Linked DNA regions of Drosophila melanogaster. The protein of the gene in region 2 purifies or fractionates together with the protein of the main gene of each other region. This does not show direct contact. Each region holds a gene or a part of one and is shown on either strand. Other genes may lie near its edges.

Region 1 (9,199 bases), on a different chromosome or scaffold from region 2:
AACGACCATTTTGAAGAACTCGGACTCCCTGCCGCTCCACAGCTGATAGATATCATCTGAATCCAATTCAGCCAGTTTTGCCGCCAGTGGGTCGGTTTTGTTTTTAACTTTTACGTTGCGCCCCATTTTGAAGACCAGCACTGTTTGTCCCACGAACAGAACTTTTTCGGCTAAAACGATGGAGAAAAATCCTGGCAGCTGAGACATATTCACCTCATATTGCCATATGTAATCCTCGGGGTTTTTCTCTGCGCTCTGGATATAGATATGCTATTTATAATATAGGGTAAGGATAATCGCTTGTTAAGTTGTTACCAGAAGTGAGCAAGTGGCTGATTTGCTGAATGAGCTACCATCAACTGCATCCGTTGGGGTAAACTTAATAAAGAATTCCGAGTGGACATCGTCAATCACTCCAAACAACAGCCAGTGAGCCAGGCTGGAGAAAAATGCGTTCTTAACAGGCTTCATAATTCTGCATAATGAAGAGCATTTGGATTATGGAAACAAGGCGTTGTGTGTTGGCTATCACTTGCATCTTGATTGCTTTTTCCAGTTGAATATCGCCGTGCTCGCACTGCTGATGTAGATTGTGGAGCAAGACGCATCCTCGCAGATTCAGCACATGGATCTCTGTGATGAGATTACGCATGAAGACCAGAAGGGGGAACTTGGCGTACAGGGCATTGTAGACATATGAGAGCGAATTGCGCTCGTTACCCAAACAATACTTCTCCAGACGTCCGATCTCAGCGTAGTACTCCTCCAGAGCCATTTCAATGCCCTTGGCCAAATTGAGCAAGTAGTAACCATGCAAACTATCTGCGATAGAAATACACATTTGAAATCTTAAAAACACTATGCAACCTTCCATTTATACCTGGAAGTTCGCCATGTGTGTCGGACTTTCTTCCCGATGAATGGGTAAACTGCTCAACTTCTTGGTAAACCTTAATGATTTTTATAATGTCCATAAATATCTCCCGCTCGCAAGGATGTATGAACTGGTCAATGACTGTGGTTTCCTAGAAAGTTCGCTTGTAAGGCTTTCGAAATTATTTATTTCCAACGATTTTACTTACATTGAATGCCTTTATACCCAGCTGCTCCGGATTGTGGCTCCGGCAAGCCAATAACAAATCGTGTATCATTGTTTTGCTGCTTTAATTCGGTATTTGTATTTCATTTGCGCCAGATGTCCGACAGAGATGACACATATCCTGCCCCGTCCGTTATCGATAAGAACCAACTAATCGATAGAATTAGGGGCATTCCCTTCCCGCCAACTGATTGTGGTTTTAAATTTTAAAAATTCGCAGAACTGCAGTTAACTGAAACCACTGTGAGCAGAGTGTTCAGGTGAAGTTCTTGCAAAGTATTATCCAGGATAGTTGGCATCCTAGGACATCCACTGCACGACGATAAATAATACTCCACGAGGACATCCCCTTGCACCGCAAAATGATAAAGTAATTCGGCAAAGTAATAAAACAATGCTACAAATGAAGATAAAATGGAAACACAATTTGTTAAACTCTGTAAAAATATTTCTTTTTACTAAAGCGTCGTGTTTGCAATCAATTTTTCCTTTATACTTTATCGTAATCAATATTCGAATTACACGCCCATTCCGGCAATTCGGTTTCGTACTCCCAACCAACGCCCTGAAAATAAGATTTAATTTGAAATTAAATCTTTAAAAATGTATAGTTTGAAACTGACCTTGTATTTCCATGCATGCAAGTACATTATGAGATCCTTTGTGCCGGGGTCTCTGTAGTTTATCTTGCATTCAGAACATTGCGGATCCGAAGTTGTCTTCTTGGAATCAAAGGACCTGTCTGGTTCCTCATAGCACGTTTGGGTGGCAATCTGTGCAGTAGCCTATAAGCATTGTGTTCTCCAGACTTGTACAACTATTTTAAGTTACTTACATCGTTACTTGGTTCAAGGTTTTTTGAAATCACAGGCTTTTCAGTTTCACTATTAATAGGAGCCTGAACTACTGAGGGAGCCTCTACTACTGAAGTACTTGCTGCTACGTCTTTTATTTCCCCTGATACGATTTGATCTCCTTCCAAGCCCAACCAGTTTTCTGCATTATGAATGCTAATTAGGTTACTGATCAACTGTTCCTCGGTTATTCCACCGATATCTCCTCCTCTTCCTTTCAATGGACCGAAAACTTCATGGTTGTACAAAGGATCATTTGAAATGGGATAGCCTGTGAAATACGAGTGTTATAATTGAATGGAATTATCTGGTTGTCACTTACCCAAGAATTGTAAATGCACTCGTATTTGGTGCATTCGTCCTGTTAGTGGTTTGCACAAAACAATACTATCACTGCCCACCTCGCCGATTCTTTTAAATGTGGTCTTACAGTCCTTGCCCTTCGGTGAAACCTTACAAACACCTATTTTGTAGCTCACGACGTCGATTTTCTCATTGCATTCAACTATGCCACTACGAAAGATATGAAAAATAAGCAGATATATAAAAGATTAGATGCATTTTGGACTTACTCTGGAAAGCGTCCTTCAACGCGGCAAACGTATTCCTTTTGCACTTGGCGAGTTCGGATTTGCAGCTCCAATTCGCGGGCTTTTTCAGCAGTCCGTCCAAACAAAAGTAGGCCAGATGTGAGACGATCCAATCTGTGAATGGTTCGCAGGTTCTTCAGATTGTGCTCCTTGGCCAGGATGAAAACTACCGTGTTGTGTCTATATCTTCCACAAGGATGTACCTACAACATACGATTGTTATTAAATCAAATTCCTTCCAAATTAGTATACCTACCGGTATCGATGCCGGCTTATTCACAACCACAATATCCTTGTCCATGTACACAATCTTGATGGGCTGTGAAGTAACAGGGACTTCGTGTCTAGAATGCAAATGTGTGCATATTCAAATGAGATTTCCTGCTGATGCTTACCTATGCACCACATTGGCCAGCAGATCATTGTGCTTGATTTTATAGTCCTTGGGCACTTTCTCAGAGTTAACAGTCAATTTTCCCGCTTCCAGGCTGCGTTCATATTCCTCCGGCGGTGCGGCTCGAAATTCGCGGACAAATACATCCAGAATTTTCTCATCAACCCAACGTCCTTTGGCGAACGTGGTGAATGTGAAAAAATAAGGATACACCTTCCGCAGACCTATAGATTGCAATTTTATAACAGAATATCTTCTAAGTTGGTTTATTAATATGTTGGCCATACCATTCTCAAAATAATACGATGTTTCGTCGTATCTTTCATCGCTGAATCCAGGACGCTTCGTTTTTAGACTATTGGCCTCTAATTTTACTTTTTTCACATGCCCTTCGTCATCTGTGCTGCTAGCTTTTCGCTTTTCCGACAAAACTTCTTTTGATTGCGTTTCAGACTTTTCCTCTGATATGGATATCTGTAAGATAAACCACGACGGGTGGTAATAGTTTTTTAAAATATTTTCAGCTTCATTGAATGTCTTCTTTTTATTTTTGAGCAAAAACACCTTTAGTTCTTGCTTTAAACTGAACAATTGCTTACTATTTAGAAAATTCGTTTAGATTTGAGGAACTTCACTCTTGAAGATACAGAAAATACGAAAGCCTACCGTGCCAAAGTCATCATATATGTATCCTTATCAGCTTATCAGCTCTTAACACATTGGAGCCTTGTTTCCGGTGTTTGTGTGCAAACAATTCCTCGTTTTCATTCTGCAGCCCAAGCATAATTTTCAGACAGACTGTTTGTTTTTTCCTTGTTGCACACTAAAAGGAAAACAAAAACTACAAAATTGGCTGCGAACCAGTAGTATTTTGTTGGTTACTGGTCTACCAGCCAATATGTTCTAGCCAGGAAGCAAACATAGACAAAAGTCCATAATAAAACAGGTCTCTTGAGTTGTTTAAGGGTTATGCAAAGTTTAAAACTATAAAATACAAACATTTTTTATCATTTTTGTGCTGCCCTCCCTTCTCCACATCTCAAGTGCCATAGACATCATTGATTCTGCGTCGGTCCTCGTAGTTTCACGAAGCTCTACAGCAATTACCTTAAGAATTGCAATTACCTTAAGAATTGCAGTGACCTCTGATCCTGCAGAGATTATTCTAAAGCTGTTATCAGCTAACAATGGGTTTCGATAAGGTTTTTATATTGTTAGGCGGTGTTTTTAAGACTAGAGGAGCTAACTCCCTTGGGTACTGCTTCTTGATACACCCTGATTTCATCCGGATCAGCATCTTGGAACTTATCCAACTGGAGGATAATGACATGCTCTTCTTCCGTCGCCTTCATTGGCTCATGTTTCTGTTTCCACATGCTCTTGATGGCACATTTCCAATCCGTCCACACCTGTGCGCATAATTATCATACAAATTGGATATCATCGGCGGCTCCCCTCACTTGCCGCCAATTCGCATTCTATTTTTATCGCGCTTTTTTGTAAACAAACCCACGATTTTTCTTTTTCTTCACATTAACCTACATTGATAACAAATTCAACTTAGCGTTGCCAGATCAATTCAATTTGGCGCCTCGCAGATATCTCAACACATTCGAAAGTGCCATCTCTATGGGTTTTGTTCCCTTTATGGTCTTAATTAATATATATACTACACAGATTTTACATATTAATGCAATTGTTATTTTTATTTATTTCATAATTTTTTGTTTGTCCTTGGCTATTAAAGTCAACATAAATAATGCTTTTGATTGTTCCAAGTCAATATGCCACCATTATTATGCCACAAAAAGAAAGTTAAAATCATTAATATTACCTGTTAATTATAATTAACAGAGGGGATGCAATCAAACCTTATTAAAAAAAATAGGTATTGTGTCTGTGCAAAAAGCCCAACAAGAGTTTTTAAAGTGGCAAGATTTGGGAATATTTGATATGTTCGAATGACAAGGCTTATGTTTTCTTAACAACCACTTTTCTATACATTTATTTATTTAGTTAATTGCGCAAAGTGTGCCTGATCCGCAAAGCCACTTAGTCCACAGGCAGCCTATCTTCCCTTTTAATTCCTCAGTTTGATGGCGCAAGCCAGTGTCAGTGGAATGGAAAATGGAAAAGGAGTGCAGGCGACCAAGTCTTAGAGGGATTTTCCTCTTCCTGCAAACCAGTAACCGCCATCCGCGGCGGTTTTCGTAATGCGTGTTTACATGGTATTGTAAGAATTATAAAAACGACTGGCCCAAAAGGCGCATCGCGGAAACAATGAGGACCGCACTTAGGATACCCACCCGCCCGTAAGCACGAGGCACTGACACTAATAATTGCGGAAACATCACGACCAACAGACCAACTTGACAAAAGTAGCTCGTTAGGCAGCCACCGCGCGAGATGCCGGGACACTAGAAACCCACTGAAACCCCACCCAAAAAAGAACTAATTATGACAAATCCGTGGTAAAATATCTACGAAGGCAAGTGAAACGTGTCCGTCCATTCGTGCGTCCAGTTGGTCCCCACACATAACTTAACTCCTTGCAGACGACAACCTCGAGCTATTTCCCTATATACATATATATACATGTATATAATGTATATGCGTTTGTATACACTCCGGTTTTTAGTTTATTGATTAGTTTAATTAGCGAGAGAGAATTAGGAATGGGTCTGGCGCTTTAAGTGTACACTCTGGCTAAATATTTAAGGCCATTTGACACTGTCACGTACGTTGAGGTGGAGGAACCAGCAAACAAAAAGCCACGAAACTAGCATGCCTGTACCGGTTTTTGTGGGCCATTAAGGGTTTTGTCTAAAATCTGGTTTTTGTTGCACATCTTAGCAAAGCCCTAAATTTTTAAGAATCTACTGACGCCTAGGGGTGGCTTTAAATTTCTATGGCGGCCAGAACGTTGACTCTTCCACTGCAGGCACTGACTGCAGTCTCGTTTATTGGGGCATTTGTGACTCAAAGTCTCGTAAAAATGGCTTAAATCTCCAGGTACCAGGGTGCAGCTACTCCTCCTGGCTCCACCGCATGTTTATATACAATTTTATGACTCTCGAAACTTTAAGGTAATAGAATAAAACTGAAATAAACCCATTTCTTTCACTCACATGTGTGGGTGTCACGCAATGCTGTTTGAGCTTTCTTTCATTATTGTTATTAATTAGTTTGCAACTTACTTCGAAACTTTTTCTGAAGAATAAATACAAAACAACACTTTAAGCTTCAATCAAAAACCTAATTTGCCTCTAGTTTATTACGTCAATTTAGAATTAAACTACTACAGTATGAATGAGCTTAGATATGAAGAGCATTACAACAATTGAAATTGTACCTAATTAATTGTTTAAATTAATGCAGCAAATTGCATTTGCTACTCCCTGATTAGCTTTTTAATTAAGTTTTAAGTGTGCGATTGGAGCTGCTGCATTGAAATTTCCCTCGACACCAATAATACTGCATAAGTGAGGACAGGAATCCGAATCCACACAATTTGCGAGCAGACCGGACTAAATTGTTTTGGGCATTCGATTCCCCCAAGATAAATATGCTCTTTTACTAGCTGCGAATCGGTCAAAGTTGGAGAAGTGGTCGCCAGCCGCGGATTCCTCGCTATAAAGCGGGTAAATAAATGGGAATTAATAATGGAGGGCGACACGCCAGGGTAAACAAATATGCATTCAAGTGCATGAACAAAACGGCATTTAATCAAGTTCAGCTGGATTTTACACATAAATATATTCCTGAATATACAATATATTTCTAACATTTCTGTAATGTTAAAAAATTATAACTATACAGTATATAATTTTAAAAATTTAGTTTTCTTTTTTATAAATACACAAGGTATACTCAGCAAACAATGCGGATCATATGTAATTATATATTGTATGATATCTTGATATATAATAGTAACCGGATCTATGTACTTAATAGAATGTCTTATCTTATCACTACTCACCGGTGGATCTTTGCTTTCAGCTGGACTACCATCCTTGTCGTCTGGACACCACACGCATTCGGGGGAATCTTCCCGATCATGGAGATTGCCATCCGAAGTGGGATTTGTGTATAGCATATGGCGGTGCAGGAATATGTTTTCCACGTCCACGGATGAGGCATCTCCATGCTGGGTTTGTGCATTTCTCAAGAGTTTGGAACTCTCCATTTTCAACAGCCACGAGAATTGTTTATAGTTTTTGATTTGCGGCCAATTTACTAGAATATCTAAGCAACGCTATAATAATAACAACAAGTTAGTCAACACGTGCGCAGATTTCAGTTTCAAACACAAAAACACTCTGCTTTATGCGATGATTCAATTGAATGAGTTAAATGTTACTTTAATTCATAACACAAACACCACTTGCCAAACGAAAAACGTCCCTAAATTGCCGCAAAAACCGCATGAAAATTACGTTTTTATGCCGAAAGCAAGCAAAACCAAAACATTGCCTATCGATAAGCGCGCGAACCACTGATTCGCGCCGATTGAACTTCATTAGGGGTATTTGCACGGAACTTACTGGTTTTTCAAAGCCACTCGAAACCGTTTTCGAAATGCTGAAGTTCAAGATAGGATATATGATATTCGTTAAACTAAAGATATTGCGTGAAAAACCAATACAGATTTAAATTGTAACAAAATGTAAGAAATCGCTTCCACCAAAAATGAGGCAGTCCTGGGATAATGATAATGGCTTAACGTTTTTGAAACCTTATCTTCAAGCTGTTTAAGTTCTTTTAAAATAACACCCAAAATAACAAGCACTCGAATTGAAAATCCAAATTAGCAGCAGTCATAAAGAAGTTAATTTATAACTGCCTGCAATATCGCAAATAATATACGACTCGAGTTGGCATTTATCCAGCCTTAAGGCTTAATTACATTAACGTGTGTTCCCATATTTGGTAACTGCATACATGTGTGCGAACATGCATGTGGGAGTGTAATCGGAGGCCCAGCACACCTTTCTATATATATATACATATAAATGTTATATACAGGTTGGTAAGAGATCTGTGTTGTTTATAAACACGCGCATGATGGGCATGTTTAGAGGCAAAGCTTTTCTATGAAAGCGAAAAAAAACGCGATGTCGTCATTTTTAGTTTTGTCCAGGCGAAAAGTCAATTTAGAACAGTAGCTCAAATGTGTAGGTGTGTGTGCGGGCTCACACACACACATACACGAATGCGGATGGGAGAAATTTAATGGGTGAGCTAGCGCACACCTACAAAATATCGTGCTGATTTAATCACTTTCTTCGTTTTCACAAACGAACGTCAACTTCTCGCACACCAACACACACACACACACACCTAGTCGCACACACCCACACACACCAACCCCTGTTTATTCAGGATGAGCCCTATAGCTTTTTAGCCATATAGCCATATAGCCCCATAGCCAGTGGCCATTAAATGTTGCCTCAAATGACGGGCAAGCCTTTTCTTTGTTGTTCGCTTTCGTGACCAACCGCGTTTCAAGGAGACCTCCACTCCACTCCACTCCATATACCCGTAGACCATGGCGTCGGGATCTGAATGGAATGGCCCGTGCGAAAGTGGGTGAGTTTCGGAAAACAAAAGTCACGCAGTCAAACACGCAATTCGCGGAGCCTTAGCCCAAATTTGATCAAACATAATGCCTTCTGTATTTTGGTTAGTTGCTAATTGGAAAAAATTATTAAAACTAATCCAACTATCTTTGAGTTGTTTCAATAGTCCTTGCTTATCTAAGGATCAACACGAGCTCGCTTGATTTAGCTTAATTTGTTGCCTACTTTTTGGCGCTCAAAAACATGGAACCAAACTTACAAGGATAAAGTTGCTTAGATACTGAAACAAAAATTATGTTTTTTTAGATTATAATAAGAATTTCTTCACTTCCACAAGATCTACGTTACGAATTTCACTTTTGGTGAATCAGATCTTTTATACTTTTGTTTCGCTCATCATCAGCCTCAACATTCTTTTGTTCATTTTCACTGTGTCAATCGGAAAAGGCAAACGCATTGTTTTCAGAATATATGTACATTCATGTTGGTATGTAATTTTTGAGGAATTCTTTCGAATGATTATTTGGTGCAAGTCGTAACTGATATTAGAAGGTTGTGGCTGCAACACCAGAAGTATGATTTTGAATATGAAATTGCTTCGAGCATTCCGAAAAAGTGGATTTTATACGAGTAATTGTGGGTGTGCCAGAGGACACTTACCATTTGTTTAGGGGAATTGTGTC
Region 2 (7,852 bases):
TTTTTCATAAATGATTTGGAGTTCTTCTAATCCAAGTCAATGGCTGATCAAATTTTTTCAAATTAGCAAACATTTTATGATATTTTTCAAGCACTCCCCACTATAAACACAGTCTTAAAACACCAAAATCTTATTTCACTTCAGCAAACAATTTGGTGGCTTTGTCAAATCTTCAACGAGATACTCACCCAATCGAATTTCACGTGCCGCTGCCCGCGTTTTATTGCGATGACAGCTCCTTGAGTCACAGAGCCGAGCATCATCATCACCAGCCATCATCAACTCGTAAAACCAACACCACGGCCTTTGTTTACAACCGCGTTCGTCGTTGAGGATGTGGAAACAGTTGGAAAATGGGCGCTGGAGCCGCGGAATCTGGGCCACTGCATCCTGGCCAAAAGATCCCAGCCGAATGACCGTCCGTCTGTGGAGGCGGTTCGTTTTGGAATCCAGAGATTGTCGGCGGATTCTGATTCCAGGTTCCAGTAACAGCATCCAATAAAAGTGCAAGTCGGAAGCAGTGATGACATTCTTTTAGTTTTATTTGCTGAATATGTGTAGGTTCGTAAGTTTAAAAAGTTCGACAACATTTTTAATAAATGGTTTCTTTCTAACAAGGTTTTCTAATTATTTATTATTATATTATTATAATTATAATAATAATTATTATATATATTATAATAATATTATAATTATATTAGAATATATATATATGTATATATATATATATATATATATTATAATATATTTTATTTCGCTTATAACATTATATTTTATCAATATCTTTATAGTATTTTAAGGTCAGAGGATGCCGAAAAGCTTCTAGGATGTCATCACTGGTCCTAAGGTAACCATTTGACGGAACTGCGCAGGCGTTAACTCTGGCTTCACATCCGCCTCCATCAGGCTGGAATTCTCTGGTGGAGGTGGAACTGAAGTGGGCTCTCTTTGAAGCCTTTGTCGGGCTCCTTAGCCAGGCCTTACTGTTGCCATTTTCTGCGGCAGGGTGGCGGCAAGGAAAAACCCGATTTCCACCCCTAAACTGGCCAGAGTCTCACGTCTGGCGTTCCAATCGACTTTTGCCGACTCTCTCTCAGGGGAGGTTTTGGTCCGAAAATCAATAAAAGTCACGTCGACGTCCATGTTGCTCTGCTCCTGCCGCAGAGGCCTCAACCTCCGGCCCCGGCAGACAATGAAATGATGTCCTGGCCAAAGGACGACGGAATGGGAGGTCGGATGCGGGGCTGGGAGTTTCAGACGAGGACGCACGTGTTGTCCCTGGACTTCAGGCTCGAATGCGTGCGAGTAGCAGCAACAATACCAATTACAATAAAGACAGACATTTAGCCAGGATTCATTTCGAGGGGTGTCCGCAGGAAGGGAAGCCAGCAGGACATGTGAAAAAAGGAGCCAGGAGCGAGGATGAAAAATTTGCCAAATGTATTCCAGCAACGGGTTTCTAATGGAAACAATTAAGTCATTAGCAAGTGTTGATTTTAGTGAGCGATGAGCCGGGTTGGGGATTTAGTTAAACTAATGTGCTCCGGCCATAATGGAGTCCTTTGGGCACTCTGGACTGGATCCCCGCACAAGCTCCCGAATAGTTCATGTACCAGTGGCAGACCCAGCTCGTTGGACCGCCTTACAAATGCCTCGCATTTTTCTCAATTACAATGAACAACTTACATTCGGGTTCACTTTTCGCCACACAACCCACTCCGCATTTTGACCATGTGAGTGTTTACGTCAAGAGGTGAACAACTGACTGCCATTTTTTAACCATGATTGAAGAGTTAAACGCTGTGGCACTTTGAGCGGGCTCGGTTAACTTTTTGGCAAATGACTTCGGCAGCGTTAACCGTTGGAATACCAGCTCAGAATGGAGGTTACATGCTGTTTTTGGTGTCAAGGTGGGACCTTGCGGACTCAGATGGCAGCTTTAAGGAAGAAGATCTTGAAAGATCTGTTATTTAGGGTTTGGAAAGTGGCATCCAAAAAAGTTAATGGATTTTTAAAAGATTTGGATGTTCTAGCCATCATTCTAACGAAACTGTGGCTTTTAAAGTGTAAAGTTTGAATTGTTTATTGTTATAAATTAATAAGATCCATGGAGCATTGGGTGTTGTTTAGAAGTGATTAATTTTTCATTTATATCTGCACTTACCATATATTTTTAGATTCCCTCTCGATAAAACAATGAAATACTTTTGACAATGCCTTGTCTCCTGGCTTAGTTTTATTGAATGACAAACCCTTTAATTCGTTGCTTCAAGAGGTGTTTATTCTCTCATGGTATTTAACTTACACCGTATACAAGCCAACCCAACCACATAGGAAAAGACCGATTAAACTTTATCAGAGAACGTTATTTACTTAAGCATATTAATGTGTGTTTGCACAAGCCGACGGATGCAGAGCAAAATTCATAAGGCACAAGCGGTGGCTCGATCTCAAGTGTGTCCGAAAATAATGAAGTCTGAATGGGAGCTAATTGAATGAATCATTAATAATATAAACACAGACCGCATCCGGACTGGCGAATTGCCGAAAAAGCGAGACGAGAGGAGAAAGTGAGGGTTCCAGTCTTGTTGCGTGGGAATGGAAATCAGACGTTGAGGGCTTATTACGACAAGGAGGGCACTGGGATGACGGTCTGGAAGAGATGCAGTCGCGCATCGGCGTGTCCCAGCTTATTGGTGGCATTGCAGTAGTAGTCCCCAAAGTCCTCCTCGCCCACGCTATCGATGCGCAGCACAGAGGTTGTGGTTCCCGAGGAGGAGGCGGTGTTGGCCACCTCGTGGTGCCGGCTAGACTGCAGGGGCACGCCATTCTTGTGCCAAACTACAGTCGGAGCCGGGTAGCCCTGCACGGAGCACTCCAGCTCCGCGGAATGGGACACCATTTGGGCGATCTTGGGCCTCTGGACGGCAATCTGCGGACGGAACTCCACTTCGACCCGGATCAACCTCTTGTCCGGCTGGCCCTCTCCGTTCTGCGCGATGCAGTAGTAGCCGCCGCGATCCATCCGGTGCACGGAACGAATCCGGAGAGTTGGTTCGGCCAGCAAATGGCCACCGGCAGGCATCACTGCATTATGCTCGCGGGCCCAGGAGATCGTAGGCTTGGGAAAGCCATTGGCATGGCAGGTCAGCTCCAGATTCTGTCCCTCTGTCACCAGGGTGCTCTTGGGGGTGTTCTCCGCAATCACCGGCGGGGTCTTGATCTGCAGGCTCAGCTTCTTGGTCACCTTCTCCGTGGCCGAAACAAGCACCTGACACTCGTACGGACCCATGTCACTGACTTCGATGTTCTGAATGCGGAAGGTGTAAATGGCACTTCCGGTCTTGGGTCCTTCGGTGACCGTTACGTTGTACCGCTGGTCGGGCAGACTGAGGATATTCCGCATGGAGAGCACCACCGAGTTGGTGTCCGACTCGCTGGGACGCTTGGCCCAGCTCACCGAGAGCTGTCCCACCTCCTCCACGGTGCAGTTGAACTCCACAGAGTCGCCCACACTGGCCACCACGTCCTTGCTGATCTGGCTGATCACTGGGGCACTAAGCACCGAATCCAAGCTGATCGCAAGGCAGAATATAAGACCGATTAGAAGCCGCAGACGCGCCATGTCTGGTCTGTAAGAAATCAAAATAGATTTGAGATTTATTAGTGTATCACTTTATGTTGAGTCTTTTGATCGCGTTAGCCATTCTAAATATTTCGTATGTAATGGAGAACTGCCATTTTTAACCCATCTTCGAATTCAATATAATAAACTAAAACTAGGTTCAATTATAGAATAATAATTTAAAGGTCACAAGTATATCTTTAAAAGTATCTTTCAAAAGTAAATAAGAAGGAAAGAATTCTGCACACACACTCGTTTTGAAACATTTATAAGGCTTGTACACACTTTTCAGCTTTATCGTCTTATTTTAATATAATTCATACATTTCTGTTTATTTACAGGATGTTGCTGTTGATTTTGTGACTCTTTTTCCTCGACTATCTCTCAGTTCAATGTGGGTTCAATGCGCTTCACTTCGCGTTCGGGACTCGACTGAATTGAAAGAGGCGACCGAGCTCGGCTCAAAAATCCGTATCTCTGCTGAGGTTCTGAGAATCGGGTTCTTATTTTTGTATTCTTCCTGACGCGCCGACGTCGATGGCTCGGTTTCTCAAGGAAAGTCCCGAAATTTGTACACCGCGAGAATGAAGCAGATAGACACCATTATGATTGATTACCGCGGCTGTGTCTAGACAACGTTGCTTCTTAATGGATACACTGGTAAAAACGGAGATAACTTAGTTTTCCGATATATCAATACTTATTTTTTTTTTTAATGAATAGCCAGGTAAACGAAATCAATTTGATTTAAAATTAATTTTTTTGTAGTTAAGGATGTGAAAAAAGATTTTAAATGGCAGTGTTTAGTAAATAGTTTAAAATTTAGTAAAAAAAATAGTTTACCTTTTATTATATTGCATATTTTTTAATAATTAGTAACAGCTTTTTTCAGTGTATTTGCCGATGAAGAAGTCATCGACGTTTTGGATCTTATCACCCCTCGGTTATGTACATTGTCGCCTTCACAGTATTTGTATCTGTGTTTGTTCAGTATCTCTATCTGTATTTTGTATCTGTGTTTGCATTTTAGTTCGTATTTAAATTGTTTACTTGTGCGTGAGTTTGACTTCGGGCTCAGTTATCAATGCACTTTCCTTCTGGTCTTTAATTGATTTGTTTTGCTGCTCGCTGCTGTTGTTTATGCCTCTGCCTGTGGCCCTCCTGCCCCGCCCACTTGACAGCCCCCGCCCCAAGATAAGCGGTCAGTTGCAAAAACAAAGCGCCAGCGAAAGCGGCCGCAGGCGAACTGAGAGACCGCGTGCGAAATTCAAATTCAAATTCGTGCCGCCATTTGGCCATAAACGTTTCGGGGTTCGTGGAAGGACAATAAAAGGAGCAGCGGCGGGGTGGGAAAGTTGGAACTCTACCCATTTGTGTGATTTATGGCATGGCGCACTACTTTCCGCTGGCGGCTAACAACAACAGCAACGATTACGAGCGGTCCCTGGAATATCCTAGCCGCTCTGGAAATGCCAGCGATCCCAGCGCCGTCTCATTAGTGCTGTCTCTTTTGCGCCGGAGCAGGGGCGCATGCGCGAAAAGGCAAAAACAACGGGGTGGTGTACAAGGCATTGGGTGGAACTTGAATCGAGTCCTGGTTCAGCCATGCTGGGAAATTCTGAAGGATATTTAAAGAGCAGTATTCGGGAAATTTGGGTACCTTTAACTTGGCTGTTCGTAGAAATTTCTTTACACGGCTGAAGGTTAATATGTGTACTCACAGCATACGAGGATAGGAAACGTCGAAATATAACATAGTCTATATTGATTATATTTGTGTATATATATTGATGTGTTTAATATGTGTCTGGATCTCGATCAATTAGTTCCTATGGCAGATGATTTAAGGATTAAATGTGGTCAAAGGCCGTTTGATGTGCAAAATTTCACTTGTTGTATAAGCACCGAACCATTCGAAAACTTTCTGCTGCCCAAACGCATTTAATTTTCATATTTCCAGCCTGATTCCTGATCAGCCCCGGGCCAAGTTTCCCCCTAAAACCCATCGAGGTTAACCCGGCTTTACTCTGCGAGATGATTGATGACGACGCTGTCTGTCTGGCGAAGAAATTCCCCCGAAGAGCGACGAAACTATGGCCACAGTTTCTGGAAAATTAAATCACATCTTAAATCGTTTCGGTGACTTCTGCTGAAATGAGGCCGTTCCCATGGGAGGACAACTGCATCTGTCGTCCGAACTTGGACCCCCGCACTCTCACTCGTACTGCCCATCTGCCGGAATCCTCGTCGCTGAGTGCACATTCGAATCAGATAATTGTAAATTGTGTAAAATAATAAATTTCCAGTTAACTATCAACGGACCGCATAGGGCGCTTCTATTCCGTCCCTTTCTCGCTGCCCACTGACGGCTCTCCTTGTCCTCAGCTGCATCCCGGCAGCGTCATTATGACCATTGCGGCGATGCCTCTTGGATGCAGGTTCAGGTCCTGGTCCAGGTCCTGGCAGGTCCGGCTGCTTCATGCAACGCTCGACTTGGCCCGACCGAACTGGACACACACCGAAACCGAACGAAAGAGACGGCTAGACGGCGTGCGACAGAGAGGGCTGCCGCTCGCATTCAGGCGCAAGCGGATCCAAAACAGAAAATGTCAAATTTTGTAATTTATTACCCGAATCCTGTTTCTGTCAGTGACTCTTTGGGTGTTTCGCTTCAGCAGCGGCACACACGGGGGCATTCAGCATTCAGGGTCGCCGAGCGGGGAAGGGAGAAGTCCTTTGTCACACACTGCGTCTGAATTTGTGGCCCAGTTCCGCACAGTGGTATCTAGCAGATACTTTTTGTAATATTTGTAAGAATGCACAGAACTTCGTTACATTCAGAGATTTCTAGTTTCTAGTCAGATGACTAAATACAATATTATGTGTCAAAGTAATTAATTTTGTTTTTGAATAAATTTCTAAAATATCAGCTTGCCTTTAACGTAAATATAGCCTTTTCTACCTATCTTTATCTGATATAAAAAAGTAGCATTTGAAATGCTGTTGTTGCAATGGTATCGAATTGGTATTAAAGCTCTGGCCCTGTTTAATTTGTATTTGTAGTCAGAGCAACCACTGTACCTTTGTGTGTATCCTTGGGCTTTGCCTATGCGAACGTATTTTGTTTGCCTTTTGGCTGCACTCCGACTCCGTCGACTGGAGTGTCTGTGAATTGACTTTTGTTGCCAGTTGGCAGCGGCAGAAGCAGCAAAGCCCGGCCAACAGCAACAAGCTCCTGCCAGATCCCAAAAGCAAACACGACAATTATTTGGCAAATGTCATTAAAAAATATTTCACTTAAGGCCTTGCGACACTTGCTTAAAGGTCAACTGGCTCGTTGGGTGTGTTTTAAAATGTTAAAGCTTGGGCCAATGCACTGAGCAACTTAATGCTTGTAGATATTTACACAATATTCTTCAACGCTAAACATATCGAATTTTCCAAATATGGAGCCTGAAAATAATAATTGCCAATCCTAGCTTAACATCAGAAATGAGTAGAACAACTTAAAAAAAATTAACAAAAGAATCGAACGCTACAGCTAATTAACTCGACAACTGGTTACCTTTTATTCTTCTAATACATTTTATAATGCACTGCCTAACAGGTACATATAGCAAGCACTATATGCTGTCTTACAAAACGATTATATGATATTTTCTTTCGTACGTAGCCGTTTGAGATCATTTGGAAAAACAAACTCGATCTCCACCATCCTTATTCTTTGTCCCAAGTCCTTATATATCTCGCGATACTAAGATTGAATAATGTAGTTATTAATAGCGGAAGTATGTAACAGAATAAACTACAAAGTGCACATTTTGTTCAATTCAGGCTGGACTGGACTGGAGCATATTAATATTATAATATTAACAAAAATTCAAATTAAACATTCGACACTTGTCTAATTGATTCCTAAATTTGGGGTGCCTGTTTGTTAATTAAATGTTAATATTATGAAGTTCCAAACAGAGCAAAGAGTTTAAGTTTAATTGGTTCTACTTATTTGTTACAATATTCAAGCTTTTTTTTATTATTATTCTCAAATGCAAATCTCTACAAATAAATAAACCTCCGACGTTTTAGAACATTCACCTTTTGTCAGTGAGCACAACCTTTCAATACAGCCCGACAGGGGGCTCTCTACTGCTGTCTCTTCACGCCCCCTGGTGAAAACGCTGTGCACTCAATCGGTTTGCAGCTTTGCCGTACTGTTCGATTAAAAAC

Evidence for each region.
Region 1: the proteins of Ama (region 2) and RluA-2 purify together in Drosophila melanogaster (affinity purification with mass spectrometry, with the first as the bait; one large-scale study listed by BioGRID). This does not show direct contact.

Annotation. Positions count from the first base shown.
Region 1 is NT_033779.5:10,475,310-10,484,508, reverse strand, and holds RluA-2 (RluA pseudouridine synthase 2), read right to left. Parts: upstream 7,437-9,199; 5' UTR 7,124-7,436; coding exon 6,917-7,123; intron 3,412-6,916; coding exon 3,225-3,411; intron 3,162-3,224; coding exon 2,939-3,161; intron 2,888-2,938; coding exon 2,800-2,887; intron 2,747-2,799; coding exon 2,526-2,746; intron 2,467-2,525; coding exon 2,276-2,466; intron 2,225-2,275; coding exon 1,935-2,224; intron 1,885-1,934; coding exon 1,723-1,884; intron 1,665-1,722; coding exon 1,590-1,664; 3' UTR 1,534-1,589; downstream 1-1,533. Other genes in the region: Grip75, read right to left, coding at 1-255, 316-475, 537-822, 881-1,025, 1,083-1,151.
Region 2 is NT_033777.3:6,759,613-6,767,464, reverse strand, and holds Ama (amalgam), read right to left. Parts: upstream 4,873-7,852; 5' UTR 4,486-4,872; coding exon 4,469-4,485; intron 4,286-4,468; exon of another isoform or gene 3,949-4,285; intron 3,633-3,948; coding exon 2,624-3,632; 3' UTR 2,204-2,623; downstream 1-2,203.